Drosophila melanogaster: one gene and its partners. The protein of the gene in region 2 interacts with the protein of the main gene of each other region in a pairwise test. Each region holds a gene or a part of one and is shown on either strand. Other genes may lie near its edges. The genes, in order: Pex19, Acp53Ea and CG17292.

What was found.
Region 1: the proteins of Acp53Ea (region 2) and Pex19 interact in a two-hybrid assay, tested with the Drosophila melanogaster proteins (one large-scale study listed by BioGRID).
Region 3: the proteins of Acp53Ea (region 2) and CG17292 interact in a two-hybrid assay, tested with the Drosophila melanogaster proteins (one large-scale study listed by BioGRID).

Annotation. Positions count from the first base shown.
Region 1 is NT_033779.5:12,086,146-12,097,732, reverse strand, and holds Pex19 (peroxin 19), read right to left. Parts: upstream 5,912-11,587; 5' UTR 5,607-5,911; exon of another isoform or gene 5,375-5,606; intron 4,046-5,374; 5' UTR 3,872-4,045; coding exon 3,823-3,871; intron 3,740-3,822; coding exon 3,622-3,739; intron 3,556-3,621; coding exon 3,252-3,555; intron 3,186-3,251; coding exon 3,022-3,185; intron 2,965-3,021; coding exon 2,721-2,964; 3' UTR 2,498-2,720; downstream 1-2,497. Other genes in the region: Mt2 (methyltransferase 2), read right to left, coding at 61-1,037, 1,087-1,147; CG6712 (uncharacterized protein), read left to right, coding at 1,313-2,497.
Region 2 is NT_033778.4:16,747,068-16,755,867, reverse strand, and holds Acp53Ea (accessory gland protein 53Ea), read left to right. Parts: upstream 1-5,532; 5' UTR 5,533-5,584; coding exon 5,585-5,626; intron 5,627-5,691; coding exon 5,692-6,012; 3' UTR 6,013-6,065; downstream 6,066-8,800. Other genes in the region: CG5267 (uncharacterized protein), read right to left, coding at 169-774; CG34189 (uncharacterized protein), read right to left, coding at 993-1,361; unc-104 (uncoordinated-104), read left to right, coding at 1,599-1,625, 1,716-1,905, 1,966-2,102, 2,168-2,269, 2,331-2,427; Acp53C14c (accessory gland protein 53C14c), read left to right, coding at 4,634-4,675, 4,733-5,065; Acp53C14b (accessory gland protein 53C14b), read left to right, coding at 6,447-6,488, 6,545-6,901; Acp53C14a (accessory gland protein 53C14a), read left to right, coding at 7,321-7,362, 7,415-7,738. UniProt on the Drosophila melanogaster protein: Responsible for physiological and behavioral changes in mated female flies.
Region 3 is NT_033779.5:8,365,856-8,377,466, reverse strand, and holds CG17292 (uncharacterized protein), read right to left. Parts: upstream 7,014-11,611; 5' UTR 6,826-7,013; exon of another isoform or gene 6,220-6,825; intron 5,010-6,219; 5' UTR 4,870-5,009; coding exon 4,842-4,869; intron 4,781-4,841; coding exon 4,714-4,780; intron 4,587-4,713; coding exon 4,179-4,586; intron 3,928-4,178; coding exon 3,553-3,927; intron 3,484-3,552; coding exon 3,339-3,483; 3' UTR 3,217-3,338; downstream 1-3,216. Other genes in the region: CG17294 (uncharacterized protein), read right to left, coding at 1-242, 295-383; CG13390 (uncharacterized protein), read left to right, coding at 694-837, 904-1,905; Wdr82 (WD repeat domain 82), read right to left, coding at 1,987-2,940; Pp2A-29B (protein phosphatase 2A at 29B), read right to left, coding at 7,747-7,751, 8,068-8,244, 8,437-8,709, 8,771-9,536, 9,596-9,670, 9,737-10,155, 10,218-10,371, 11,073-11,156.

The DNA of each region.
Region 1 (11,587 bases), on a different chromosome or scaffold from region 2:
TTTCCTAGCTAATAAATGTATTAAAGTGAAAATAAGCAAGCAAATATGTTGTATTTTGTTTTATTTTATCGTCAGCAATTTAATAAGTTCACCGACAACCTTTACATTAATACTATTTCCCAGCAGTCGATACTTTTGTCGATTCGTTGTTTCTGGCGGAAATTCAAAATTCTCCGGAAAACTCATTAGACGAGCAACTTCCCGTGGCGTGAAATAGCGCAGTCTCACCTGGTGCAACAGGTCCAAGCGTTGCTGCAAAATCTTCTCCGACTTCGATGCATCCTGATTACTTGTGTCAATTTCCTTGACCAACTCGAAGATGCGGTGGGATTCGTCCTCCGAAAGCGGTGTGTATGCAGAGCCCGTGCCCTCGGTGTAATGGGTGTAGCCCTTTGTAAAGCACATGGATCTACTTTGAGCAGGATGTATTATGTCCATGACCAGCACTCTTTTGGTCAAGACATCGTCGGGCACCAGGAAATCGGGTGATACATTTTCCTCCACAATCTCGGCAATTTGTGAAAGACCCTGATTCTGGGCTATAGCACCCGGCATTTCTTCCCAGATCTTTCCACCGGCAAATGGAAAGTCTGCACCCTTGCGGGCGATGCAATAGTAGCGATATCGAGTATTTGGCACATTGAATTGCGTTGGCGTTAGAATAAACTCCCGCCAATGGAATCCCGACCGCTCCAGCGATTCAATAAACTGATTTCGCGCCTGTGAGCTCTCGAAACCCTTGACGTTTTCCATGAGTATGTACTCCAGTTCCTGGCACTCTGGGATCAGTCCACACAGATGAGTAAGTGCATCCGATCGCTTGTCTTCCGTGTCCCTTTGCAATCCCTGGCGAGTGTGGGGCTGACATGGCGGGGACATCAGCAGCATGTTGGCCTGAAGCTTTGTGACTTCCTTTACACTCAGGCTTTGAATATTCCTAGTTTTCACCAAATTACTGCCGTAATTGTGCGCATAAACCGCATTGGCCACGGTGTTGACATCCAAGGCGGCAACTATTTGTCCATCCAATTGGGCATCTTCAAAAGTATATATTAGTTTCGCATGTATCATGATCGACGAACTCACAATTAAAGGCATAATGCATGCCGCCAATGCCACTAAATAGTTCTAAGACCCGAAATACCATTTTAATTAAATATATTTTTGTTTACAAACTACACGTTGTGAGTGGCACGTTTTCCAACACTGCCCCACACAGCAGATTGTCTGCGTTTCCGTGTGATTGGTATAAGAAGAAGAATATCAACACGTGCCGCTCGCATTTTTGTGAATTCGTGATTCTCTCGGAATAATGATAAAAATTAAGCGAAAAACAGCCCCTCCGCCCGTGGAACAGGACTCGGACAGCGATTCCAGCTTTGACGAGGAGGAGCCACAGGATTTGGAAGTCCAGGAGGGGCCAGTCACTGATAGCAGCGATGAAGAAGCCGCCTCCAGCAGCAAAAAAACGGCCAAACAAGGGGAAGCCAGTGAGGATTTAAAGGAAGAGGATGATGACGACGATGAGGAGGAGAATGACGACGACGACGAAGAAGAGGATGATGACGACGACGACGACAAGAAGACACGAATTCCTGTTTTGAATCCCCTCAGCTGGATGCGCAACAAGGAGCAGCGTTTGGCGTTGTACAAAAAAATGAAGAAGGAGAAGCACAAGAAAAAAATGCAGGAGCGCCGTGCCCGACGGAAGGCTGGTGTACCCGCCAATCCTGGTCACACCATAGAGAGCCTGCGAGAGAAGGACCAAACAGAGGTGGCCAATCTGAACGATTCCGACAACGAGGAGTTGCAAAAGGAACTCCAACTGGACGATTTCAGCTCGTACTTCGAACGTTCGTACGAGCCAAAGGTGCTGATCACTTTTGCTGACAATCCGGTGACCAAGACGCGTAAGTTTGGACTGGAGCTTTCGCGCATATTCCCCAACGCCCTGGTTAAGATTCGCAACAAGTCGTCGGTGAAGAAGATATGCAAAAGCGCCGAGCGCGAGGAGTTCACAGACGTCGTGATCGTTAACGAAGATCGCAGAAAGCCCAATGGGCTGCTGGTCATTCATCTGCCCAATGGTCCCACTGCCCACTTCAAGCTGTCCAACGTGAAGCTCACCTCGGACATAAAGCGCGATCACAAGGAGATAACCAAGCACAGGCCCGAAGTGATCCTGAACAATTTTACCACACGTTTGGGTCTGACCGTGGGCCGCATGCTGGGTGCCCTCTTCCATCACGATCCCGAGTTCCGCGGCCGCCGAGCGGTGACGTTCCACAATCAGCGAGATTACATATTCTTCCGTCACCACCGCTACGAGTTCACCAAAGAGGGAAAACGCGTAAAGCTGCGCGAACTGGGGCCGCGGTTCACCCTGAAACTACGTTCCCTGCAGGAGGGCACATTCGACAGCAAGACCGGTGACTATGCCTGGATAATCAGCAACAAACGGCACGCCATGGAGTCGCGACGTCGCTTCTTCCTCTAGGTGTATTTCGAGGCATTGTATTTAGGTATAGAACTACTTAATAAACCAACAGTTAATACGAAAATAATAGCTTGATTGAAGAGAGAGGTGATAACCATTAGCGACCGCCGTATTGTTTTGTCGGTGATAAAATAAAATACAAATTTGCCTTAGCCTAAAAAATGTGCAACACTCAACAGTTAACCAATTGGCACACCACGAGACTATCGTGCTCCGTCAGCCACTACATGGTTGGGCACTGGGGACCGGGACCGCCGGCTGCTACGCCGGCAGTGGGATCGCCGAAGGGCAAGTCGCCGCCCGTCTCGGCCAGAATCTCTGGCGGCGGCTGGCCGTAGTCTTGCAGTTTGCGCATGTCGTCCAGCACGACGCGGAACTTCTCTCGCTTCACGGCGGCCGAATCCTCGGTCTTCTCGCTCTGTAAATGCCCCTCAATCACCTTGTACAGCTCCATCTGCTTCTGGTACCTGTATGTATTGGTTTCTCAATAAAAGTATCTTATTGCGAGTTGATTTCGAGCATACCTTTCCTTGTCCTCAGCGGAGAGCTTGGCGTCGTTCTCCTCGAGGTACTTGGGGTACTTCTCCAGCAGCTCCCGGATGCTGGGCAACAGAATCTCCGCCGAGAGCAGGCTCTGCATCATGCCCTCCATGAATGGTAGGAACATGTTTCCATCACCCTCGCCAGCCTGTCAAACGGGGATTGTTTAATGATTGAGCAAGGAGAATTCATATTTCATTTTCAGGATGCATACCCCTTCAAGATTCAGTGAACCAAACATGCTGGCTATGTCGTTCTCCGAGGCGGGAGCAGCCAGGTTCTCGGAGCCCTCTTGCAGACCCTTGAGAGCCTGGGAAATGCTATCAGAATACTTGGAGACATCCTCGTCGGTGGCCGAATTTTCGCCGCTCAAGGTGAGCGCTGCCGCTTCGGCCATCTTTTTGAAACCGGCCATGATCTGGTCGGGATCCTGGGGCAGCGGCGGAATATCGCCACTGGGCGTGTCCGGACCTCCGAAGAGCGTGTTCATGCGATCGGCCAGCACCTTGGCCTGCTCACTGAAGGCGGATAACAGGTCAGAATACAAAGTTCAAGTGCCGCGTTGCACTGGCGCATTGACTCACATGAAAAACGCATCTGGATCCTCGGAGCCCTCAGGTCCAGCGTTGGTCGCCACATCCGATGATGCGGACGGCTCCTTTTGGTCACCGGCACCACTTTTATCGAAATCCTGGAGAGCACCTGTGCGAAAAGTGGACGACGCAGTGCGCATTATGTAAGGGGTCGAGAAGGGATCGCCAAAGGCATTTCCGGGCTGTACTCACTGTCCAGCAAGTCGTTTAATTCATCGCCATTCTTCTTTTCTTCGGACATTGTGCAATTTCGGGATGCTTTTCCTTGATTTCGTGGTGGGTGGGAAATGGTAAAAAATAAAGACTGACTGAATCAATCAGTGGGACCGTTCATCTGCTGCTGGTGCATACCGCAGTCAGCTGAACAGGTGTGGCTACACTGACTCACATCTTAGTGCGACCGCATTCGTAACGGCTTTTTAAAAGGATGCGAAATGATAAGAAAAAAATTTAAAAATTAACTTTTCTATATAATTGTTGGTTTTAATTTTAAGATTTCAGTTTCGGTTAGGGCTTAGACAAAATTCATATTACTTAAACAACTTTTAAATGCATTTAATGTTTTTTTTAAGAAAAATAGCTATATTTTGTTTAATTTTTAGTAAATATATTCCTTAAATTAAGAATTCTTATTTGTTACTATTATATAAAGTTCAAAACAAGTTCAGAATACCTATTTCGAAATAATCTGGAATGCATTATTATTGTGGACTACACATAAGTGTGAAAATGTCTAGCCATTTAATTCATATAACATATATTTATTGTCAATGAAAATTTCGAGTTTTGATTTAGAAAATTATATGTCTTACAACAACAAGTCATCAGTACACCCATCTACAATATAATAGTGTACATATTTAAATCTAGGCCTACATCAGACTAATAAACTTAAATTCGAAGCACCTCAATATCCCTCCTGTCTTGAGAGACAAACCAAGGACATTAGTCGAAGATTATCTAAAATAATCACCCAAAATATTTACGCATCTTCTGCGAAACTCTCAGCCAATCTCCCCGGGAATGGCACCTCGCTGTGCGCGGACGGAGATCGGCGACCAAACTGCGACCAGAGCCCAAACCGCACATACTGAGTGGTGAGGGAGGGGTCGCAAAACCATCAAGGTCACGGCGCGACGCTGATGCGCGACCAATTCCGAAACCAGAACGTCACACCCATGGACGGGACACATGGATTTTGCAGTAGGGCGTCCAGCTCTAGGTCCACTCCCGCCCGAAGGTCACCGCTGCGGAGGAACCCCGCTTGGTTTCCTCAATTCCGCTCATATGGTCAAATGGCTGGGCTGGGATGGGCTGTGCTCTTTGCGACTTTAACCGCACGGTTTACCAGAAGAGCAAAACGAATCTTCGATTCGGTACGCCCACGCAGCGAAGTATTGTGGTAAATTTGTGTTTTTTCCTCTATTTCCACTATTGGGGCGGAGTTTTCTTCGGTCAGTCGGTTCTCTGAAAATGTCAGCATGGGCGGAGCTTCGACTGAAATAATGCATAATTTGGTGTTTTATTTTGCGGCTTAGGGTGGAACAAACCGCCTGAAACTCTTACATTTCCTACAGAAACAGGGTAATTTGACTTTTTATGGGCTGTAATCCATTTACAGAATATGCATACATATAACATCAAAAATTTCCCTAAAAACCATAACTCTCTTTTTAGGGAAAAATTTCATTCTCTATTCGCTGCGAACATCAGAGTATATAGTTCAACTTCAAATTTCTTAGAACCCAAGCAGTTCAGTTCAAAAAGTCAAGACAACCGTCAAAAAGTCAAAACAAAAGTCGAAAACGTAAAAACCCCTTCGTTGGCCAAAACAATGGTTTTTGGGTCACACTCACACCCGATCCCAATAAACCAAGAAACTCGCTCTTTTTTGACATAATTTTTAAGGCACCAACAGGCGCGTCATAAAGTTGTTTATTCCGATATAATCGGTTTGCTAGACTAGCTGAATTTACCTGAATCTCCAGCTCTATTTCCCCAGAAGAGGAAGGATTCCAACCGTCATAAAATGCCCATCAGCGTCTTCACAAGCATCTACACTTCCCTTCCTTTTTGCAGGAACTTTGCCAGGATACGATCCTGTACATCCTTTTCATATGCTGACTGCGATTTCACGCTCGCTGATCGCATCGCTATTTTTTTCAACATTTCCGCATCCTTCCAGCGAAAGATGCTCGATTTTACGATGCACTGAACAGGATATAATGGATTTCGCGATTGTTCGGTAATGACGATGATTGCGACTTTATAGACACATTATTTATATTGTGGCTGGTGTCGTGTGGCTATGGTAATAAAGTGTAAATAATAAGTATATATAAAGGAGTAAATAAATTAAGACACTAAATATATGTAATATATATGTAATATAAAAGGAATAAAAGTTCTTTAAAATAAAAAAATTATACTAATTAAATTAAACTCTGATTCTAGAAATCTGAATGTTACATTACATTCAAAATAACTTGTAGCTTTAGTACACCTTGTATTAATCATTCAAGTATCACAAAATATAAGATATTTATATATGTTTCGACATATTTTTGTGTCTGGCCAGGATGGCATTATCTTTTGATATTTTGGCCATGGTAATTGCGATTACAAGGCTCCCAGTCATTCCTGGAAAACGCTCACTTTTCCTTTGAAATCCTGCCCCGAAAAGAAGAACTGGAGAAGTCAACTGCTGGCAGCTTCCCGAAAGACAAGACACCCACATCCACCATCCAACATACAACATCCACCATCAACCATTGCGCAATGGGGCGAGCTCTTCATGCTCCGACACCCATCGCTCTCCATCAAAGTGGCCATGCAAATGAGCCCTTGCGTCTGCCATACGTTTTCCTCTAGAGGATTGGGTCGAAGGGTAGCCGACTCCAGATGATGTGGGTTGCTCTGTCTGTGCCCCCCCAGTCGCTGTTCTGTTTGATTAAGCGGAAATTAAGTGTGCGTTTCGGTTGCAGCCTCCCAATTCGCCATGCCCTGCTTTTTTTTTATCGTGAACTGCAGCACATATATGTTTTATGTTTCCCAATCGATTTGGTGGCTCAAGAGCTGCTTTTGGCTTCCTCAGGTCAAATAGTTTTTATTACAGTGGTTAGGAATTACTCCCAATTAAGTTTCATAGAAATTATAGATTGCTAAAACATAAAACCACTTCTAAGTAGGACATCATGAGAAACTTTTTAAGCTCTTCGCATAAAACTGAAGATTCTTTCCCACTAATGTATAAATAATCACGGTCTCTGCAGTCAATTTTTCCATTGGCAATGCATTTTTTTTAATAGAAAACGCCGACCGTAGCCAGTGATTAATGAAACAATTGAATGATTTTATTTAAATTCGCATATATCCGATGCAAACCGTGGCTAATGGACAAACGCCGCCGAAGAGAAGATCCAACATCTCCAAATCGAGATTCCATAGAAACACTCGGGATGTGAGAAAAACGCCACCTACTTTGTGGACTCTACGCCGAGAAAACTAATGATGTTCTTTCGCCATCCATCGAGTTTGTCCATTATAGTAGAGTATATGATCGATCCGCGATCGAACCTGATCGACTACCACAAAGCAGGGCAATTACAAATCGGGGAACTGGACAACAGGTTGCCGGCTGAGTTGGGAAATATGGATGTGGATGTGGCTCTGTGACTCTGGATGGAGATGGAACCCGGCCGGAAAACAAATTAATCTTGTTGACGTCGCAGCCTCGTCACTTTCTTCGCCAGGTCGAGGGCCCAGGTGTTTGATCTCGACCTGATGCTCCGATGCTACGATCTTCTGTTGGACAACGATGGGTTGCGCCTACATTTGCGCCTTCTGTTTAATGATCAATTTGTTGGCCTCCGTCGCCGTCTCTCAGATGTGTGCCGACAGCGTTTAGCAGTCGATTGGGCTCGGGATTGGTTTGTTTGTGCCCCGAGTTGCCGGGTTTGTTGTGCCCCAGGCTAATGAGTTTCTCGAAAGTGGGTGTATGTGGCAGGGGCTCCCCTTTTTGCCCCTGGGACACTTCCTACATGATCGGCGAAAATTCAGCCAGACTCTGTGACGTCCCAATACACAGGAAGATAATCCCTTTCAACTAACTAACTATTTATTATTTAATTTATAGCTTCTTCATTCTTATACATTTAGGTACTGAAAAATATATATTCTTAAGCAATAATTATACAGAATATGAATATTTCTTTGCATGAACAACATTTGCTAAGTATTTTCGCTGAGTGCATGACGAATGTCATGTGGTTGGAGTGCCAAAACCAAACGTTTGTGGGCAGAGGCGCGAAGTTTCCACCAATTGCGATCGAAGGTATATATGCTATGAGAGATGCTAATTTAAGGACAATGGAGTTCCGGGGAAGCCAGCTCGCGACCCACAAACAACTAATGCCTTCAATTAGCCCGGCTAAACTGCTACCAAGAGCAAGGGTTAATCGCCCGGAGATCGGGAAAGGCCCTCAGCTTTCCGCCCACTTTTTGTCGTAGAGTGGGCGTGGGCTGCGTTAAGCCGCAGCATTTTTTCGATAACTACCTGGACATGGACTCCGAGTTGGCCCGACTCGTCCTGACCCACCCAGATTGCCATGGGCCATGGCAAATCGTTTACAATTGTTGATCAATAAAACGTCGGGCTGTAATGCGATTATCCGCTATAATCGGGCGATCAACACTCGAGAACTTTTCCAAAATATTTGAAAAAGTCAACTGGCGATCGACGGGATCCAGGACACAGGCTGGCCAGGATCCAGGATCTAAGCTGCTGCGACTTTCCCTCTAATCTCGCACTTTGCCGCTATTTGTTTGCATGCTTTAGCGGGGATTGCGATTTACGATCGCTCCGGTCACAGGACTCCTGCGAAAGGACTCGCTCTGGGAGATTCAGCTCAGATGGGATAGGATGGAATGGACCACGGGATAGAATGCGACTCATATTTACTAAAACTTACTGCGGATTAGGAAAAAGTCAATCGCCGCCTGCCAGTCTGTCGAGCGAGTGGAAATATTTGAGGATCAGCGCAGAAGCGCAGGATCAACAGGGGGCTTAAGATTTCAGCTAGAAACATAGCTAAATGAAGGTATTGAAAATCAATTAAATTGTATATAATACTACATTAAACCAAAAACAAGGATTATTAGAAAAGTTGAAATGTTTGCTTTTCCTTAAAATATCTTTAGTAGGCCTGTAGCTAAATAAATAGTGCTATTTCTTTAGAATCTAAGTACTTAGATTTGCTAACTAAGTATAATATACGATGTCTAAAGATGTTGCTTGCCACGGTGTATTACGATATGCCTTCCAGAATTCCCTAATTTCTGGAAATCATGGCTCTAAATAGTCCATTATCTAAGCATCCCGTAGTGCGTTCGTCGGTCAGAGCCTTCTGTGGGCTGTGGACATGGAAATTCGATGCACACCACAGCATCCAAAGAAAAAAAAAGTAAGGAATCACCATGCCAAAGGGCCTGATAAAGACATTAGGACCCGGGGAACGTGAAACAATCAAGGCCGTTCCAATGTGTGACAACAGACCACATTACGTCCGGCCAAAGCGAATCGATTGCCAAACACAAACAGCAGCGGAAACTTGTAGAGTATAGGTAGGAAAAGTACCCTGGGATTCTGTGGACTAAACCATACCTATTACTATGATAACTATATACTTGTTATATATATAAAATACAGTTCCATCAAATATGTGCAATGAATGAATGCGCATGGTTATATAAGTTATATCTGATTCAAATATTTATTTTACGATGGGTTCCTATAACTACACTTTATTGCACTGCAATGGCATGCTATACTAAAGTTTATAGCCTGGCAATAAAACAAACTGCATGAAAGGTGTTGCGCAACTTTCGTCTGGGTTTTTAAATTTATGGAAAGGTCAAATGAACACAGCAAAAACTAAAAACCACATTAAAGAAACTTGTAAAAAAATATAAATATTAACAAAAATCTATGTTTAAAATTATTTAATTTAATGAAGTTAAATAGGCTTTCCTTTTCAGCACATATAAATATTTTCTTAAAAGATTTTGCGTTGAATTTTGAATTGAAACGCGTAGTATAAAAGCAACAGCTAGAGATTCCAAAATGCTTGAGAATTGAAAACTGCCAATGAATTTGATCGTATAAATCGCACAATGTGTGCATTGTTTTCATCGATTATATAGCTATTTGTGTGCATCGATTGAGCGCACGAGCCTCTCGAGGCAGTTCCTCCAAATCGGATGAGATTCGAGTCTTGGAGATGTGTAGTAGGGTCGCAGGTAAACGAAGCATTCGCTGGCGAAAGTTGAGGATCGCGAGGTGGATTTTCATTCATAGCACCCTGGGTGGCATCATAAAAAGTCTCTTAGCATCCTTATTCATTGCACGGATGTGTCTTCATTTTCCCGCTGGCCGATTCGTGGAAATGCGAGCGAAGCTGACTTGCAGCGTTTATGGCACCGATGCCTCCTACTGCTTCCTGCATTTCGGCCAGGATTCAGGACCTTTCTCTACCCAAAGTGACGATCCCATAGCAGAATCGCCTTTTTCCAAGCGTTGATAGCGCGAAATTAGCGTTATATGAGTTGCCTATTCAGCGCTCATTGTCCTGCCAAATTGTGAAATCAACGAGGATCAAATCGAATGGTGGGTATCGATGGTGGATTGAGGCGCCTCTCCATTTGATTCGAGTTACATATGTTTGAGGATAATTTAATTATCACAGAATACTTGCTAGTCTGCCATCGTGGCCATGGGCTCAAGGTCATCGGGGATTTTTGCTATCCTGCCAGGCGCAAATGTAGCGATTCCATACTGGGTGCCTGGTACTGCGAACTCCTCCCGTTGGGTTTGCTTAACCAAACGCCCAACGGGCAGCCGCACCGAGCAGTAGAAACCCAACCTTTGTTGCCTTGCGGCCTCCGTTGTCCTTGATCTGCATCTCATCTGGATCTTGCACTCCGGCACTTGGATACGGATCCTGCCGAGGAGCATGCACATTCGTCACATCTCTGTGGGTCAATTTCCTCGCTGGCGTTTCAAACGGAGGTTGGGGTCCATCATTAATTCTTGCAACACTTGGCGCTCTCTATTGTTCGCGGCTTTCAGGTTTTTGTTGTTATCCCACTCGGCGCTTTCTTTTCTTTTCCATCGGTTTTGTTTAACTTCTTTTCGAGGGTCTCTGTTGCGTGAAATTCTACAATTAATCAAACCCACGACGGCCCATAGAAAAGGGTCGAAACTATGGTTATAAGCCGGAGGCAGCGGAGCATAATGGTGGCAAAAGCATGACAAGGATGTGGATGCGGTCATGGTAAGGATATGGATGAAGTCACTTTGTTAAATGTTAAATTGGAAAGTTGGAAACATAAACTGATCAATAGTCGCTGATTTTGTATTCAACTGAATATGTTTCCCTGCATCCAATATGGTGTTATATATTTAATATCTCACTTATTTTGTTTGAAAATAATTTACTATGATCTATCAATAGATAGTTCTAAACACACACTTTTATATTTATATGTAATATACTGATAATTAAAATAAAACCTACAATTTGAAATGAAGAACTTTGTTCACCGTTTCCGAAAGCAATAAATAACTGAGAGAAAAGAGGCTACTCGAGTGGCAATATAAACGAAAGCCATAATTAGGTATCAATAAAGGATATATTACGCTTGTAAAGAGTGTTAAACGCGTACTCGATTGCATTATGGGTTCCAGTGAATATCTAATTTGATTTCCGGGGCCAAGTGGAACCCCAAAGAATATCTCAAGTGAAGAGTGAAAAGCAAACGCCAGGCAGACTGATCTCTCAAGTCCAGTATTCCCTTATCCTTATAACAAGGTATCCATAAAGGATATGTAACGCTTAAATTGTATCGTGCTACTTACGGCATTAATTAATTTCCGGAAACCAGTGAAAGTCGAAACTAT
Region 2 (8,800 bases):
CCCGTATAAACACACCACCCACACCAGCACCACCCATCTTAGTTAGCTTGCATCCATTCGGCTTTCTTGGTTTATTAGAACAAACGAAATTGGCACGACACCACAGCACACCCACAGCATATATCAGTCCACCACACTAACCCAAATCACCTTATCACATCCTCCACCTCACAAAAATACCCTGTATATCCCGTTCTTACTCTGAACGATCCCCTTGGGACAGTCGGAGCGCAGAGTACATGCGCTATGTGGAATATTGTAGACATAACCACGCTTACAGCGACAAGGCGGTCCGCAAAGCGGTACACAGTATTTGGAGCGGTATTCGCATGTCTCCGGACAAACGCCAGCACATCCCACATATGTGGAGTTGTGACAGCAGCCGAACTTGAAGGGCTGCTTGATATACTTCTCCTCAGGGAGCGGGTTCCGCTTGAGGGCTATTTCTTCACCTATTGGATGAACGATGTGGTATCTATGCTCCAGGCTATCAAATTCGTCAAAAACCTTTTTATGCGGGTTCTCCATGAACTCGTCATCGTCTCGCAAAGCATCGAAATGATCCAAGGTTCGAGCGGTGCGAAAAGTCATGCCATTAGTTACTGTTACCGGAAGTTCATTGGGCCAGGTCAACTCAGACTCCAAGGTTGGCTCGGCAATGTCATCCGGCCAGGTAATCTGGTCCTCTGCAGAATCTTCTGCCATCAGTACATGTTTTTGAAAGAGAATTCCAATAAGCTGTACGACAAAATAAACCTTCGGCCATGCCATCATAGGAAAATTATAATAATAAACTGAGATTAAAACTGTATCACATTAAATAAATCAGGACTGTGTCAGAATTGCTGTGAAATGGCAATTTGTTAGGGTCACCAAGCACCAATCACTATTGTTTATAAGTCATTCGCAGCTAGAGATTTGACTAGATTACTTCTTTTAGTTGCAAACATTAGTTTATTGTCTTTTTAAAACACAGAAATATTTTGAGGCTTTTACTGAAAAACGCGATGAGTTTCAACAACCAGTTGCTTTATGTCTAGAGGACAATCAGTTTTAAGGATGCATAGTTGCAGATTTTCGTTAAAGACATAGTCAGGTTTGCATACGCAATTTACACCGCAATATTTGGGACACTTGAGCGATTTGAAGGCACAGGTTTCGGGGCAAACTCCAGCACACCTCACCATGGTGGCATTCTCGCCGCAAAATCCCGAAAACGGATTCCATATGTACTTCATGCGGCCCGGATCCGGGTCCACATCATGGTTCAGGATATGATCCTCGTCGATGCCAGTTGTCATGACCGAATCCATCAGCAAGGCCGGCAGCAGCAGAAAGCAGAGGGAATTGAACCAAACCATCATGCAAAACAAAAGCAACTGAAGCTATTAGCAATCACTTCCACTTGTTTCCCAGCCTTTACTGCTTCTGCTGCCAGCTGCTTCCCTGTAATTGCCCACCATTCGATCATCGCAGTGCAAAAACTAACGATAAACACACACCATCATTCATTTTCCTAATAACTCGAGATACTCAAAAACGAAACTTCCAATACTTTATTTGTTTGTTTTCCTTTCGGTTTTCTTTTACACAATTAGAAACAACAAATTTGTAATTCGACGCAGGTAATTTTCTGTTCTATCCAAAGAACCTATAAATCTAAACCAACTCTTGAGCGAGGCGTTTGACTAACAACCTTTAATTTCCCCAATCAGATTATGTTCACCGGATCGAGCTGATGCACCCAATGGCTGGGAGGCACCTGCTCCGGCTACTCAGCCGGCTCTTCCCCTCCGTCTCTATGTGCCGGAACTGGAGGAGATTCGCGTGAGTCCTGTGGTGGCCCGCAAGGGTCTGTTGAATGTCCTGGAGCACGGCGGTTCCGGCTGGAAGAAGCGCTGGGTGGTATGTATTTAACCCTGTATGTTTTAAAGTGCATTCTAACCTTGAGTTTTGGTTAAATAGATCGTCCGTCGCCCGTACGTGTTTATCTACCGCTCGGAGAAGGATCCCGTTGAACGGGCTGTCCTCAATCTGGCGACTGCGCATGTGGAGTGCAGCGAGGACCAGGCGGCCATGGTCAAGATACCCAACACATTCAGGTCGGTTTGATTTCCACTTAAGAAGTAGACATGCATTGCTAAATAATACATCGATTTTTCTTCAGTGTGGTGACCAAGCATCGTGGCTATCTGCTGCAAACTCTCGGTGACAAGGAAGTACACGACTGGCTGTATGCTATCAATCCATTGCTTGCTGGGCAGATAAAGTAAGTAAAGAACTGAATATACAGCATTTTCTAAATAATAATTATATCATATTTTCAATAGATCCCGCCTGGCGCGACGGACTTTGGAGCCTGCTAGCCAGACGGCTTCCCAGATCCAGGCCACCAATGCGGCGAATGCCAATAGTGCGAGCAAATGAGATACGATTACGATGGAGTCCGTTTTGGTTTACTGAGACGCAGGCTATGGCTGGCTGCAGCGCCTGAGTATCGCCAGACGACTGGTCAGGCGGAGATCACAACAAATGGCAGGGACAGCAGCTGGCAACTGATTGATATAGCTTGAAGGATTCCATCGGAAGAGGGAAATGAAATAGATGATTGTTGCTGTGAAAGCACATCTTAATCGAATGCAAAAATCAGAGATAATGAGCAGAAAGAAACCAAATGCAAAGCGTACGTAATTATTAAGTAGTTCAACAACAACCTATACAACAATGGATTATATTACATTTCGTGATTAGTTGGCCACGGCCCAAAGAGTAGGCACTAGCAGCTCCAATCAGATACGATAGCCTACTTTTTAGAATCCCCTTCGATTAGTTTTATTGGACAATTTTGTAAATAGCCTTCGTTTGATTCGATTGTATAAATATTTGGTATTAGTTAACGGACCATTTAGTTTCAGTTCCCACGTGATATTATGTTGATCAGTTAGACTATGTATTTTTTCTCAAGTATGCGACAAATATGTAAAGCTTGTAATGCAAACAAACACACACGTATATGCATTTTAATGGAGCAAACTAAAGCAAAATACAGACATATATATAAATGAGGAACTATATGTAATGAATTAATGTATAAAACCCTATATATTTGCTGTTTATACACAAATTTTCATGTACTTGTATTGTTTAACTTAAAAAGAGCAGGTAAACGCCAGAGAAAATTATGATACCAAAAATATGTGTGTGTGTGTTAAAGAAAGACCGTACAGTATATAGGATATAGGAGACGTGAGGTATAAGCTCAGCAGAATTGCGAAATCTCTATAAAGGTAACGATTATTGTTAGATCTATATATATATACAAGCAAAACAGAACTATATGCGAATGAAACTATTTTACACACCAGAGTTACGAACCATGAAATCGGCGCTGCTATAACTCAGCTGCCCCACATTGTCAACTGTTGACGGCTTTTAAGGCTTCTCCCCCCACAGACTCCCCACAAAAATACCAAACAGTTTCGCTTCTAAAATGCTCCCTCTCGGAACCACCTGCTAAAGCTTCAAGCAACACGTTACGGAACAAACCAATTGTAGTTTTGATAAGAGTCTTAAACTAGTACGCAATGGCCACCTGTATATTTCCCAACTGAAAATGAAACCGACATTTTGCTTTGCTTGCGAAAAGAACTTTGAATTTAATTTGCGTTTCGCCATCGGTTGATGCACGAGCTTAGGTCAGGTTAATGGATCAATTGGAGCTTCACTTGTGCCCGGATCACAAGCCTCGAAGCTCCCAAAGTTGTTGAAGGGATCGCTTTCGTTTGTGTCGCAAAAATGGACACGGAACGTTAAGCGATCGTTGCTGGATCGAGGAATACGTATTCTTTTAGAAATCGTTTCGGAACTGAGTCGGCGTTTTGGGTTTTGAGTTAATTGTAGCAAAATGTAAACATTTGTTAAACTATTGAATTAATTTCCAATTGTAACATATTAGAGAATTGTAATTACAATAATCATTTTACAAGCATATTATATGATATCTATGTATGTAATAACCTATTTTGGCCCAGTTTGAATTTACCAACAAAAGAATTGCACACACCAAAAATATAGAGCTATATATTAGCGAAGCGAGTTAACGAGCAAGAAACTCAACTTATATATGCGTATATGGTACAATACATTTCAAAATCGATTTAAATATGTACATCGGCTATATATCAATGTATGTAAGAGATGATTGCCTGGCAACCGTTTCCAATGACAGATGAAAATTAGAAGAGCAGAACCAACGCGTGGAAAATGAGGGAAAACCTATGCTATGTGTATGTATAATCCAAAACAAATTGATATTTGCCAGGGCGTATCACTATTAAAGAAATATAAAATAAAACGGCTTTAAATAAAATCTGTAAACTATCGGGTTGCTTTATATTGATTAGGCTATACGAAGAAAGGTAAGGTAAGATAGAGCTGATTACTGAAAATGTGGCTTATATTGACTCGATATCTATGATTTGTGAAGCGGACTGAAACATTAATTTGATATTTTACAGCATTTTTATGTCGCAAATGAGCGTAGTTAAACCATTTACATTCTGCAACTCAGAAACACTATAAGTGGCGTTTAGTTTACGTCTGGAACCTCTGTGTTCACTGAAGTCTTTCGGCCATGAAGTCCAAACAAGTCTTTTACATCGCCTTCAGCTTGCTTGTGAGTTTTAATATTTGCTCAAAACTTTTTACTGACTACGATTTTTAAATTGTAAAGCTGCTGGGATCCTTGCTGCCAAACGAAGTGGAGTCCTTAAGAGTAGATCTTAATAAGCTGGCGGAGTGCACAGAATCGGGATTGAAAGTAGCCACAACGTTGCTCGTGAGGGCGATACCATGTGTAAAAAAATTGGCAAAATGTGCTGACTTTCGAGCCATTAAGACTAAGGACCTTGATATTACCGCACTTGCCCTCTTGGGCTATCAATATCTGCAAACGGTCGTGAACAACCAAAGATGTCTATTGATCTCATTGAAAGAAGGCTACGACGCTGTGTCGCCACACCTTGACAAACTTATTAGTGGCAAGTGCCTACCAGGGCTCAGCTAAAGCAATATATACATATGCAAACACTTTATTTGGTTTTTAAATTCTTAATTTAGCCTTAGATATAGACATATTTTCAGTATTTAAATGAGTTGCTTGAATCACAGGAATACAATGAATTTGGCGAGATTATATGATTATATTCGGCAATAAAATCTAGATAATTATAGTTGTTATTAAAAGGACAGCGAAATAGAAAGCACAAGCTTAAAAATTCTTTTTGCGGGTCTGGAATTAATTACGAATTCAATTTGAATTCAGTTTCAACTATATGCCTTCTTTTTGTAACCTTTTGTATAATGTTATTATATAAAATGTTAATGAACATGCGAAAACGATTAACAATAGCAACAAAATCCATAAACTGCTCACACACTTTGAAGTGTAAAATCTGTTTTTAAAGCTTCTAATAGACCGTGCTGATTCGATTATCCTGGGGCCTATAAATAGGGCATAAAACACAGGGGCTCCGAAAGTTTGATCTTCAGCCGTTTAGTCGAAAGCACACAGATAAGGCTTCCAATGAAACTGATAAAGGTTACACTAGTGTTCAGCTTACTGGCTGTAAGTACATTATTTAAATATGATCTTTTTAGGCACAATAACAATAGATAAACTTCACTTAACAGCTCGTATTTGTGGCCCAAACGGAGGCGCAAAATCCAATATGGGAGAATTGGTTGGCATGCAATAGAATTGGTACTAAAGCGCTTGCCAGTCTGCTGAGAGAAACAATCCCAACTGTTCGCAATTTACTGAACTGCATTGACTTCAATCCACCAACCGATATTGGAAATAGTTACCTTTCAAAACTTAAGTTGTACTATGAGCTTGTTAAGCGAGGTGCGCTTGACAAGACTCAGTGTCTGATTGTGCCACTCAAGGAATCAGTGAGACTACTGAGGCCTTATGTAAAATCGCTTGAGACCAACAAATGCTTGGGTGAATAAATCACTATTTTGGCCATAATAAAATAAATTTCTGAGCATTAATAAAGCACAGCAATCAAAAATGTATATTTTTTAAAGGAGGGTAATGCCTAATAGACCTTCCAAATTAATCATGATATAAGTTAAGTGCGGTTTTTTTCTCAAATTTTTTATTTATATTATGATATTACCGAAACCCAAAAACACATTTTGGTTTGGATTCAATCGGCTGAAATACTTTATATGCGAGACAAATTATTCTGTTGTATTGCATTTGAAAATTGAATTGACATGTATTAGGCGCAAAATTTATTATGGTTTTTAACTGTAACCAATTTTTTTAGCACTGCTTAGGTGGATGAAATTAAAATTAGCTTGTAATCCTATAAATAGGACAGCCCTTTCATAAATATTCTAAGTTTTTTCTGGTCATAATCGCGACTTAAAACAGGAGAATGAGCGTGATCAAGTCCATATTTCTGCTCAGTATTTTGGCTGTGAGTACATTTGGCTCACTTAATTACTTTTTAAATATACTTACCATTCTCCATAGGTCTGCCTCATTCCCCGGGAGACGGAGGCCCAGGCCACTATAAGTGAAAGCTGGGGAAGGCTGGGCAAGTGTACTCAGGTGGCCATCGAAACACTGACCAGCCTGGCCGATAAAATCGTCCCGACCGTATATGAGTTGAAACAATGCTCCGGATACGTAACTTTGGAACCGGCAAACGGCAAAGACAGAAAGATTACCTGGTACCTAAAGGTATCCTATGAATTCTTCAAGAAACTTGTCTTTGACGAACCCAAATGTCTGCACGGTCTACTGAACAAGTTGGCTGCCACAATCAAACCATTTGCCGAGCAGATATCGGGATTAGGTTGCTTGGACGAAGAAGATTATATCATTTAAAAAGAAAAGTGTGCACATTACATAAATAAATCGAGAGCAATATGGGGTCTCAAATGTCAGCAACAAAAATGTATTTCTTATTAAGTATAATTTTACAATATAACTACTGCATTTGGAAGTTAAGTTGAAGTTAAAGTTGGCTAAACACATTCAAGTTATGTGATTAAATTTTATTTTATATGATTAATTCAACAGAAGCTTGATAATAATGGAGAAGTCGCGGCCACGGTCTGGAAATTAGTAAGATTAGATTCGGATTACAATCATATTTTCGGTATAACAATTGAAAGGCGGTACATTGGGTATCAGTGATGCTCGACAGCATTACTAAAGCGATTATCCTGAGGCCTATATATATAGGGCAATATTTCCACATGGCCCACAAAGTTGGATCAAAAGTTGCTGGAATAAGAACCCCAATGCATTTGATTAAGATCGCCTTGTTACTAAGCTTTTTGGCTGTAAGTACGTCGACCTTTAACGGGATTATTTCTTAACCATTTCGCCATTTAGTTATGCCAAAAGTCGCAAGTTCAAGCCGCCATAAGTTCGGAACTCGATCACTATCTGCGATGTTTGGAAGTGGTGACTGATGCCGGTGCCCTAATGATCGAGAACTCTATAACGGCCATAAGCCTCCTATCCGATTGCGTTGATTTTCAGCCGAAAATCAAACTAACTGGTAGCATTCTCAGATTTATTAGGGTGGCCCATCAGTTTGGCAAGAAGGCGATATACGATCGACCGGAATGTCTCGTACAAACCTTTACCACCGGAGTCGGACTGATTAGACCGATTATAGCCAAGTTTGATAGCTTGAGGTGCTTTGATGAGTAAGACAACCTACCTAGTTTGAATAAATATTCAGAATATACCGAAAGTTTGCCTGGCCAAGCAAACGGATCAGAACCATCTTAATTGTTTTATTCTCATTCTTTTAAAATTCAAATTCAACATATCACAGAACTTCCATTTGAAATTACAACCATTGTTATTTAAAAGTAATGTTTATTAACTCTACATATCAACTGGTGGTTACACGTTTTTTTATATACAAAATTCGATTTATCTTCTGGTCGTCGGCCAGGATCAGTATTAGCGTAAAAATAACTAAAATATAAATTATGTAGAACAAAAAAAATGTATAATTGTTTAAATGTCTAGTACTTACGCAGACGGAGAAAAAGCTTCATTGCTATTGAGTTAAAGGTGCATTTCAGTTAGCCGATTTATATAGCACAGTCGACATGGAATCGTGACTGCTTCATTTTTAGATAAAGACCAGAAACAATTATATGTCTGAAATGTTGCACTGGCAACGTGACTAGGTTCAAGATAGCTACGAAAACAAGAGCTCCACTTGGCCAGGTAATCCTCCACTTGCCAGCAGCACCTGCTAAGTAATTACCTCAATTCCATGGTCGAAATCCTTTTCATTGTGGCTATGAAATTCCATGACAACCAAAGCTGGCCAAGCTCAGTGATGCAAATCCCACGCAGTATGCCAGTAGTGCATAAGCTCCGACAAGCTGCTAAGTGCTTTCGGAGTAAGAGGATGAGGAGAATATGGAGTATACTAACTTTTGAAGGACGCACATCCATACCAGAATATCTGCTGTAATTAGGCAAGTTGTCGCTACTGTTTGCCTTTTGCCATTTGGCCGCTGCTCCCCCGGCAATAGCATTTTATGGGCTTTTGTTGGCGGGTTTCTCTTCCAACAACATTTTCTACCATTTTCAAAATGAATAATTCAATAGTCCGGTAGAAGCCTCTGGTTCGCGGTTCTCCCTACTTGCCAACCTCGGACCAACTCGGTTGCAGCCATAATTGAGGTCAGTGAAATCAAATAGTTCCGACCAAGTGCTTAGCACTTGCCCAGCGGTGTGTGGAGGAACTGG
Region 3 (11,611 bases), on a different chromosome or scaffold from region 2:
CAACTGAATCCTTATAGCGCCTAGTGTCCTCCGGCGGAAAGTCCTGTCGTGCATCCTCAGACAGAATATAGTACGGATTTAGTCTCTCATTTTCCACATACGAGACTGCGGCACTCAAGGAGCTGTAGATCTCAGAGGCGTCAAGTTGGAAGCCAATCCTGCATAGCCGTTCGTGAAGAGTGGCCTTTGAATCCTTCGTGGTGTTTGTAACGAATTTCACCAGTACGCCAGAGTCACGCAATCTACACGGCAACTTTGAAAATAATTACGAATACCTTGGTTTAAACTAAGCACCTTTTTAACGCCTCGACAGCATTCGGAGTAGGTTCATCCTCCACATGCAAGGTGCCACTGAGATCAATGAGTGCTCCTTTAATAGACATCTTTCTCAACTGTTGAAAGCTTCTCGTTCCTCTGGATAACAAAAACATAATTTCCAGCTGGTTCGATAGCTTTCGATAGTCGTCGCGATATGTTTATGTATCAGCAGGTGATTTTCCACAGGTGTAGACGGGGATTCGAATACTTTTTTAAAAGTAAAAAATTCTAGCCGCCCTAAAAATACATCTTAATATATTTATATAATACATTTCTCGAACCTTTAGATCATTTAATTTAATTTCACTTGATTAAGATATATCAATCCCTATTACATATTTTTCTGACTATGCCCATGGTCACAAGACTTCAGCAATGTTATTCTCTACCGGCAAATCGTTTCTTGCGCGATTTTCATTGAATATATCCAGAAATGCAAAACCAATTGGTCTCATAGCCAACTACTGTCAGGTGGCATCAGCGCTGCGTCCGAAGAAGGCGAAGTCCACCCGGAAAGAGGTAGAATCATAAGATTGCAATGGAATTTACATAACTAATGCCACACTTTTGTGTCCACATTTCCAGGCGCAGTACTTCTCCGATGCCAAGAGGATACGTGCCATCGGCGGAAAGGGTGGCGACGGTTGCGTGTCCTTCCTGCAGCTATGGTGCAATGAAAGGGCCGGTCCAGATGGCGGAGACGGTGGCCACGGCGGGCATGTGGTGTTCCAGGCCTCTAACGATGTGCGCAACTTTAACCACGTGGGGAGTGTTCTGAAAGCTGAAGAAGGAGAGCCGGGCAGCTCCAAGGATTGTCATGGCAAGAACGCCAAGCATTCTGTGATCAAGGTTCCAATCGGGACGGTGATCAGGAATGCGCAAGGTCAAATTGTCGGGGATCTGGGACAAGCGGATCTTATGTTTGTGGCCGCTCGAGGAGGAGCCGGTGGCAAGGGCAACCGTTTCTTTACCACGGACAAGGAAACAAGTCCCAAGGTCAGCGAATACGGTCCTAGGGGTGAAGATCTATCATACACTCTGGAACTGCGCAGCATGGCGGATGTGGGTTTGATTGGTTACCCCAATGCTGGCAAAAGCACCCTACTGAATGCACTGACACGGGCCAAGCCAAAGGTTGCTCCCTACGCCTTCACCACGCTGCGTCCGCACTTGGGAACCGTCCAGTACGATGATCATGTCCAGCTCACCATTGCCGATCTTCCCGGACTCGTGCCCGATGCTCATCGCAATAAGGGCTTGGGCATACAGTTCCTAAAGCACGCCGAGCGTTGCACCTTGTTGCTGTTCGTGTTAGATGCCAGTGCACCGGAGCCATGGACGCACTATGAGCAGCTAATGCACGAACTCCGCCAGTTTGGCGGACGTCTGGCGAGTCGCCCGCAATTGGTGGTGGCCAATAAGCTGGACGTGGAAGAGGGCCAAAACAACTTTGAGGAACTGCAACGTCGCCTGCAAAATCCCGTGCTCGGCATTAGTGCCAAAATGGGTCATAATCTTGGACAACTCCTGAACAGCATACGTAGAGGATACGACCGCCACAAGGACCAGCCCCAGGAATCCAGTTAGAGGCCTCTGTTTATGTTATGTTGATTTATTATTTATAAATTAAATTGTAATCTTATAAGCTAAGCAAGCGGGAATCATTGCCTACAAGCCCTCCTCGGATGTGGGCAGCCAAAAAGCCATGTTGGTGCACGCGGACGCCAGCATCATGTATTTTGGATTGAACTGAACGCATTGCACCGGTCCCGGATGGTCACCATTCAGTACGGACACCTTATTGCCAGTGTCGGCATTCCAGATGTGCACTCGTCCATCGGTGCTGCCTGAAAAGATGAACTGCGAGTCTGGGCTGAAGCTTGCCTCGATGGGAATGCCCTTGTTGTTTGGATAGCCCGTGAACGTTTGTAGCGGAGTGCCGTGGAAGGCATCTACGAGCCGGATGACCGATCCATTCGTGCTGATCAGAATTGTTTTGCCGTCACGGGAGAACTTAAGGCCAGTCCAGTCGCATTCCTTCTCCTGATTAAGTTTAAATGTGACGAAGGGGCCTTTGTCGAAAGAGCGAAGGTCGTACAATTTAATGCTTTCCGAGTTAACGCCAGCGGCGAAGATCAAGCCCTCGGGATCGTAGGCAGCAATGGGTCGTCCAGAGAGATGCATCAGTCCCTGGCAGTTGGGCGAGCGCAAGTCCCACAGGCGCAGCGTCTTGTCCAGCGAGCCGGAGAGAAAGGTGTCCTCCACCGGCGAAATGCACAGCGAGATAACCTTCTTGGTGTGGCCGGGGAAGTAGCGCAGATATTTGTTGTCGTGCAGGCTGAGATAGCGTATGGTGTCGTCCACCTTGGTGGAGCTATGGATGGCCGTGTTGTTGGCGTGCGTAAAGTGGATTAAATCCACTCCATACTTCTTCGAGTTCACCGTGCGCGACTGCGTCCCCTTTTCGCAGTCGTAGATCACGATCTGGTCATCCTCGCTGCAGGATATTAGATGTTCGCCGTTGGGCGCAAAATCGATGGCGTTGATCTTGTCCGTGTTCTCTCGGAAGATCTTGGCCACCTTAAAACTGCGCACCACCGAATCTATTAGTTTTATCTTCATTTTAGCCTGTCGAATTTCGTTTTGTTGTCAATATGCTCAATTGTTGCAAACAATGTTATCGGTGGCAGAGGTTGACGGGTCGATAGCTGTGTTATCGATATCGCAACTTTCGAACTGGTTCCGGAATGAATTGCAAGAGCGGAACCAGCAACCAGATTTAAATTATTTGAAAGTTCAAAAAATCCATTCAAAAAAAGTAATTAATAAAACTCATTTAAAACCCCAAATAGTGCAATAATAATGTATAAATACCCCAAAGTAATGCAAAGTTTTTTTCAACAACAAAATTTAAGTATATTTTTCTCGTAAATCAAAATGTGGTGTAAGGCGTCATAGAAACAACAATATTAATATAGCTACATTTCATAATGTACACAGTGCAATTGTAGATGGTCTTATTAATTCGTTTTCTCCGACGGGCAGTCACAGGTGATGCTGTGGGTATTTCCCAGCAGATCCTTGGGGTCAACGTAGACAGTGCCCTCCTTGCCTCGAGCAAAAGGTGTATGTCCGTTGGTTTGTAAGTAAAAGTCGCCATGAATTCTGAAAATCACAATTTCAAATGATGAAACTAAATTCTGCGCTATGCATATAAGGCAAGTAGAAACTTACGTCGTGGGACAATGATGACCCATCACCACGGGCGGGCAATTCTCTACTATTTTGTTCTGCTTGAAGTCCGACCATTTCTTGGCGGGCACAGCATCGAATCCAATGGGATATCGATCCGAAACGCTCTCGGCCCAGAACCACCAGCTCCTCCGATGACTGGACAGATCGTTGTCGCTGAGCATCTTGTAGTTTCGCTTGGGACAGCCAGGCTGCAGGCTGTATCCACCATTTGGCCAGAAATCCGCCGTGCCCGTGCTCGTCGGAGCTCCGTACAGCCAGGCGTCCGTGTGTATCACGTCGACGAACTCCGCATCATTGGCAGACAGGTGCGTGCCCGGATAGAAGAGCGGAAATGCGGGATCCAAAGCGGAAATTCTATAAAAGAAGATTGGAGATAAGTGAGACAAGAAAAGGATTCAATATAAACTTTATAAACTTTGCCGAACAACGATTCTAAAAAAAAACTTTTTGTATTACCATATGGTAATACAAAAGTGTTAAGCTTTGGACATTAAAATTATTAACTAAATATCGTATATTAAACATCGTATATCATGACGTCGGCATAGACTAAAATCGAACCGAGCATGAATAAATAATTTGAAATCAAACCTCTTTCATTTTACCTTTTTATCTTTCTGACACCCTTGGTGCGTTTAGTAATCTCTCGGCCGAGGAGTCCGGCCAGCTGGCCGCCCATCGAGTGTCCGACAATGTGGAACTTCTCAATGTCCAGGCCATGGTCGAACATTTTGAGCAGGACCTTGGCCAACTCTGGGCCCAGCTGTTTGAGGTTCGGGAAGGCATCGAACATGTAATTGCCATCGGCCAGTTCACCCCAGTCTAGGACGATAAGATTGGTATCCTTTCGCTCCAGATAGGCCTCGGCTATGACGTGAATGCTCTCCACATCCGGATCTTCCAAGTAGCCGTGCAAATAGAGCACGGTGTTCTTGCCCAAATCCAAGTGCTCGTCCTCCAGAAGACTCTGGAAATCGGTTAGGTCATAGATATCGCTATCTGCCACCGTGGGTCTGTGAATAAAAGATAATGCTATAGGTGAATACTTGAATATATTTAAGAAATTTGGATATTAGTGCAATAACATGGCTTTATGTATAATTTTTCTTCATATTTACTAATAATAATATTAGTTCTTACCCATAATATAGTATAAACTTGGCTGTCGTTAGATCCGCCTTGGAGTTCTTGAGTCCGCAGAGGAGCCCTGGTTTAATAATTATCCAAATTGTATTAGCGGAATTTTCCATTTTCGCACACTTACTTACTGGATTTGTTTTTAATGGCCTTGTGCATGTTTCTGTGGGCTGTCGGCTATTAGTCCATAAAGTGATTGATTACGTGGCCAGTGGATTGTCCGGATATCCTCTGGTCCCATGCGGTGATTGGCAAAGACTGGGCCGGGCACTCGGTTGGCCGGATTAATGTGGCGTGGCCTAAACCCCCATTGAAATTGATAACTCTAATTAAATTTCAATCTTTTTCGGATAAGATAGTAATGGTGAGTTCGGCCAAAAAAAGCCTTGCGACATCGTAAGCATCGTGATTCACACGAGTGTGCCGCCCCAACGGCGGCAAAGTCCGTGTGGGAGTCCAAGCCTTTGCCTGTCCATGCATCATTCATGTGCTCCTACGGTGGAACATCCGATTTCGGAACATTCCAAATCTCCGCATTATTATTCATCCACTTCTATCGGCTGAACAAGTTTAATCGAACGCTAATCCCATTATGCACTTGAGGACTAATTCAATGGTGATTGAATGAATGCCATAAAAATAAAAGCTTTGTCGCCAGCCAGTCTACTTATTTCCAAATCACCACGATCAATTAAAATTGCAACATAATGAGTTTCCTCAACAGGAGTGAGCTGAATAATTACAAAGTTTTCCCGTTGAAAGTTACAAACTTAAAGATCGCCGTAACTATTATTGATCCATTAATATGATGGGTTTAATTATATATAGACTAATACAGCATGTTTATTTAAGTACAGTTTTACTAGCTATTTAAGTGCATTTTATTATCACTAAAATTAACTTTTAAAAAGTAATAGTCTTTTTATGGGCGGACCCTGTAACTTTGACCTTAGTAATATGGCTATCATAAAAAAAGTGAAATGTTTGACAGTTCAACCAGCTACAGGGCCCACTGTCTATTGCCAGAGATTACCTTAACCCGAGGTCTAAGTGAACAAACTACAGTGCTTAAATATGCAGACTTGAAATTACAGCAATGCCATTCAAACACACTTGTAAGCTACAGTCCAACGTCCCTAAGTGGGAACAAAAGTTAAAGTTTAGCTTGGAATATATTTGTTTTCGGACTGAATTAAATTAGAAAGTGGTGTTTCAGTTTAAGCATACATTGTTAAAGTACAAAGTACAATGCAGAACACAAGCAAATACAAATACTTTTTAAAATAAAATATATAAATACTTCAATGAGATTATGAAATCTCAAAACTTTCTTGTATAAACTAATAAATTAATATTGCAACTATTATTCTTGTCAACCTCCTAATCATAACATATCTAACTGAGGGAAGTTGGACTGTAGAAATGCTTATAAATGTGTACATAGATATATGTCGAAATGGAAGACCCCTGACCCTCGTTGCCTGCCCAACGCAATGGTAATTTAAGTACCGGCCTTCTTTTTTTGCCTCGATTTCGCCGTTGTATCGCGGACATAAATAAAGAGCACTTCAATTTATATTCCGGCTTATCGGGGGAAAATTAGCCGTCAGATAATGCTCAGTCGCACGATGGAGTATCACTGGTTTCGAGGGTAAGGAGGGAATCGAATCGGCGCCAAGTGTTTAGCGGAAGGTAAAAATAATAACGCTTAGCGAAACGCGCCACTTGGGGAAATCGGGCTAAATAATGAAGCACTAATTGTAATAACAGCTCAGCGTTTTTGACATATGCGAGTAATTAATGCATAGAGCCCATAGACTATAAATATTCGGACACTTGTTGCGTCCACGGGGGCAGGTGGATCGTAGGTCAGTGGACGGTAAACGGACGCGGAGATTGCGACAGCCGTGGGTAAACTGATAATGTTCCGCATTTGGCTGTGTTTGGTTGGGCACACACAAACACCTCGTTTTATTGTATACACACAATTGATTGGTTCCACCCATTTGCCCAATCAAATTTGCATCTGATCCCCCCATTGACTCCACCACATTCCACGCCGCATCCGATTCGATGGCGCTCGAGCGTCAGACGGAATAATTCAATGGCACTTACGCGTCCACACTCGGTTTCGGAATTCGATTCGAGAGTTAGGCAAACATTGGCCAACGCGCAGCGGAACGGCAAAACAAACAAGCGTATCGCTTCGTCGCAAAAGTCCAACTGATCTCTCGCTAGAAACTGCTCGCCACCACCACCACCACCACCACCATCATCCAATTAAAAAACCAAAAAGAAGCCCCAACTATCGCCAGGTGTCTGTTTGGCGCCTATCGATATCAGTCTAGCTTGCTATCAAAATCGTTTACTGCTGGAATGATTTTAGGATTTCAAAATAAATTAACAGTATTTTTAAAATGTAAAAATACAAGTATTTTGTTTGTATAATCTATGCTTTTCATAGCCATACCTCTCACAAATTATAAATAATCAATGCACCTGCCAAATAATCAGAATGTATATAAAGCTTAATTTGAACGAAACTATAAAAAGGAAAATATTACATTTCCAAACTTTGAACTGACAACTGAAACCTAGAAATTGGTATACAATTTTGGGAGTTAAATATTCAATTTTGCTCCACATTAAACTTTTCAATAGATCGTGTGATATTGTTTCACTACAATTTTATTTTTGCATTCAGATGCGATCAAATGTTCCAAACTCTACAAATGTTTTTAATAATGATCGTTATGCCTATGGTAATTTATATATAATATAAGTATGTAAGTAGTAATGTTTAGTTGTGTGTCGCGTTTAGTGGGTCTCCTCCCATGCTGATTCTCCGATTCTCTCCTTCCTCTGACTCCTGGCTCCATTCATCCCTCATCCAGCATCGGCTGCAGCGTTTAACACCTTCCGGGATCCACTACAATTTTCCGTTCTTAAGTGTTGTTGCTACATAATATGTTTTGTTGCCGGCGTTAAATACATACAGTTTTAAAAATAGAATAAAAAAAGATGCAAGAAGGTTGATTACGCTATAAACAAATATACAAAACACATTATTGCAGACGAACACAGAGTGGGGAATGGTGAGATAACCACGTGGTGATGGCGATGATACCGGGAAAGAGACAAAAAAATATGGCACAACATTAGTATCGGTTAAATATTTGATCCACTGCACTCGCACTTTAATCAGATCGGACATCTAGCCTGGTTATCTTGAACAAACAAACAATCAAATGTGAATACGATTATGACGGGGAGGATTAAACACATTGGCTTGTGGAACTGGCTGGAGACAGCGGGAGGCACATCACACGTCATGTGGTTGGCTACTCATCCTCTAACATTCCGAGTCAAGCGTGGGCGGCTCCGCTGCCTTGCCATTCATCTCCTGCAAAATGTCATTGTCAGCTGCCTCCGGCTGTCGGGGCGGTTCCACTATCAGCTTTGAGTCCATTGCCGCCTCAATTTTGGCGCCCATGCACGGCGGTATTGCCGTTCTAAACACATTCAGTTCCATTTCTATGGCAGGATTTTAATTAAAATTAAAGTCTTACTACTAACTGACAATTTATGAATTTGTGTAACTCTCAGATTCCCTGCATGCCTTAAAACTTGTGATAATGAATAATGTTATATATTGTTCTATAAGTTAGACCCTTTCTATCCCTGTCAAACGCTAACCTTGTTTATATTAGACTGTTTATTGCTTACCTGCAGCTATGCCGGCAATGGCCTGTGCAGCAAAATGCTTGACATCCACATCTGTGTCTGTGTTCAGTTTGTCGAGTGTGGGCTTTACTTGGGCATCAATGACGCTGGCCTCCAGGAAGGGCGAGATCTTCTGCAGGGTCTTTGCCACGTTGAAACGAACATTGGCAACGGGATCAGCGGCAAGCAGGAGAACTGTGGGCAGCAGCAACTTGGTGGTGATATCTGTGCCGCAGACCTCTGCCAAAACATTCAGGCAGAACAAGCAAGTCATTCCTAAAAATCATAAGAACCATAAGCATATATTGATCATTACAATTTCAATTCGATAACTTACTGTGCAAATAGTTCTTGTTGCGCGACATAACCAGAATCATTGGAATTATGGCCTGTTCGGCCCAGGGAGCTCCGAACTGCTCGACGAGCTTCTTCATGTTGAGGGTGGCTGCCTCACGAATGGCGTACACGTGATCGTTGAGCCATCCCATGCAGAGACCGCGCAGTTTTTGGTCAAAGAATTCCTGACCCAACTGACCGGCCAGAGCAGGCATGTACTCGATGATGGCTAGACGCACACGCCACTTGGAGTCCTCGGCCAGCTCGACGATGGCGGGCAGAAGCGACTGTGACAGTTGCTGGATACCGATGACGTCGTTAACGCAATCCAGGTTTGAGATGATGTTTAGGCGCACTTCTGGGCACTCATCCTTGAGTTGAATAAGGAACAGGGGGAGCAATTGCTCCACAGTCTGATAGGCGCCCAGCATGGGACTCAAGCCCATGATCACTGAGGCCAGAGCTGACTTCACATGAGGATTGGGGTCCGAGACAAGATCGCGGACATAGGGCAAAATGGAACTAAGGATGATTTGCACCTGGTTGACCTTGTCCAGATTGGCGCAGAAGTCCTTCACCTTGGTGGCCACTGCAGCGCGAACCTCGGCCTCGGCATCCTTGAGCAAGTACTGGAAGGCAGGCACCAAGTCCACCCTAGTAATCTCTGGGCCCACAGCCTTTTGCAGATCAACAAACTTCTCGGCCACCATGTAACGCACCCTCCAGGAAGAGTCGCTGGCGCACTGGCGCAGCGTGGGCAGAACCAGCTATGGAATATTTTTTGTAAGCCAACAGGTATTAACAATTTCAGCGCTGATCAACTTACGTGCTCTACATCATCCTGAGGCAGCAGCTGGGCAATGCTTACGCATGCCTCTACAGCCAGCAGACGGACAGAGTCCTGGAAATTAAGGATAAGGATTGATATTTTGGAGTGTTGTTAAATTGGTCTTAATCAGGTGCTTACCTGATCATCCTGTGCCAGCTGGACAAAGTTGGGAATCAAATCGGACTTCAGATACTCCGTCTCAACGACCTTGGCAAACTCGCCCAGCTTGTTGGCCGCTGCACGGCGCACCATGGGTGTCTCATCCTGGCAGAGCTTTCGGAAGTTGGCGCGCAGCTCGGCCTTCACTGGCTGTGTGACGCGTGGATAGCAGACCGAGAAGAGGCCGCAGGCAGAGGTGCGTGAGGTGAACCAGTCACCGGAAACCAATCGCTGCAGTGTCGGCACCACATGGATCTCCAAATCCTGGGCGCTGTGCTCAGCGGCCACGGTGCGTAGAGATTCCACAGCCTTGTCTCGCACCACGGTTTCCTCTACGGTGGCCAAACTCTCGAGGGGCGGAATCAAGTACATGGCAAACTCTGGCCCACCAACGAGACCTGGAAAGTAACGGCGGAACATGGTTGGAAATGTTTTCATTAGAAATTATATCTTTGCTCACTAGTAAAGTTGCCCAGTTGGTCGGCCAGGGCCAGCAGTACCTCGTCCTCATCGTATATGGTCTCGGTGAGGAAGGGAATCAACTCGGACCGTGTGCGCTCCTCGCCCAAAGCGAGTGCAATGGTGGACAGTTTCTTGATGGAGTTCAACCGAAGCTGTTTTGGTAAGGGAAAATATTAAAGATGATTATTTTAATAGGGTATTCAAATTTAGGATAAGTGGTAACTAATTCTACGATTTTGAGGTTATTATTGATAGGGCTATTGGTTTTTTTTTACAAAAGCGGTGGTCAACCTGTACCCTACATTTTATTTTCAAAAAAAAACGTAGCATATATATTTACTTAAGATATCTTTTTTAGATAAGATAAGTGATTAGATTATTCGATGTAACGAAAATATTTCATCTTACTATCTCATTTTAAAATCAGTTATGGTATTACTATTGATTGAAGTTGATCTATTTTTAACACGCGCAGTTGTAAATTGTTTTTGCAAATAGCAAATGCGTAAAAACTTATACTTATACATACATAAATGAAGGATAACAAAATCTACAAATAAAAAGCGGATAAAGACGTATACCCATAATTGCAATTAATTGATAATAGTAATTTTTTTCGCAAAACGCTAATCTTGTGTATATCGAAATTCGGTATAATTTCGATGCACACACTCGCACCAACACAAATGCCCATGCACACACGCACACACACACCGTGACGCATTTTTGCACAAATACAATCGCAGATAAAGCAGGGAGTGTGGGCACGCTACCCCAAAATTTAATCACTAGAATATTTCTGCACATTCTTCGCGAGATACAATTGGATTTCAGGTTTTAGGACATGACAAACCTGAACGTCCTCGTTTTTCAGTTCATCGATTAGAACCGCAATGGGATATAGTGAATCGTCGACCGATTTGTCGCTTGCTGCCATTTTTTCTGCTGTTTCTGCTGCTCACACACAAACACAAGCGCACTGAAAATCGGGTCTTCTATTCTGCAGGCAAACGACGAGATTTCTATTTGGCCCTCTGGCGATTCGCAGTTTACTTCTTCAAGGTTACAAAATAATTTCGCAAGGTACTATATTTCGTCGCTGCAAATTTTCTAAGAATCCATACAATTATCCGCTGATTGCTGTTCTTTTCGAACGAAAAACGTACGTCGTTGGTGCAAATTAATATTTTTTTTCTTCAAGTGACACAACGGTAGAGGTGGAACGCATATCGGTTATCATTCGATACTATCGGCGTTTCCGCGCGTCGATAGATTTTCTGAAATATATTTTATTTAACTGAATTCTGAAGAATATTAAAATCACACTTATTAAATTAGGCCAAGAATATGATTATATATCTACATAGATTACATGGAAAATTATAATTCTGT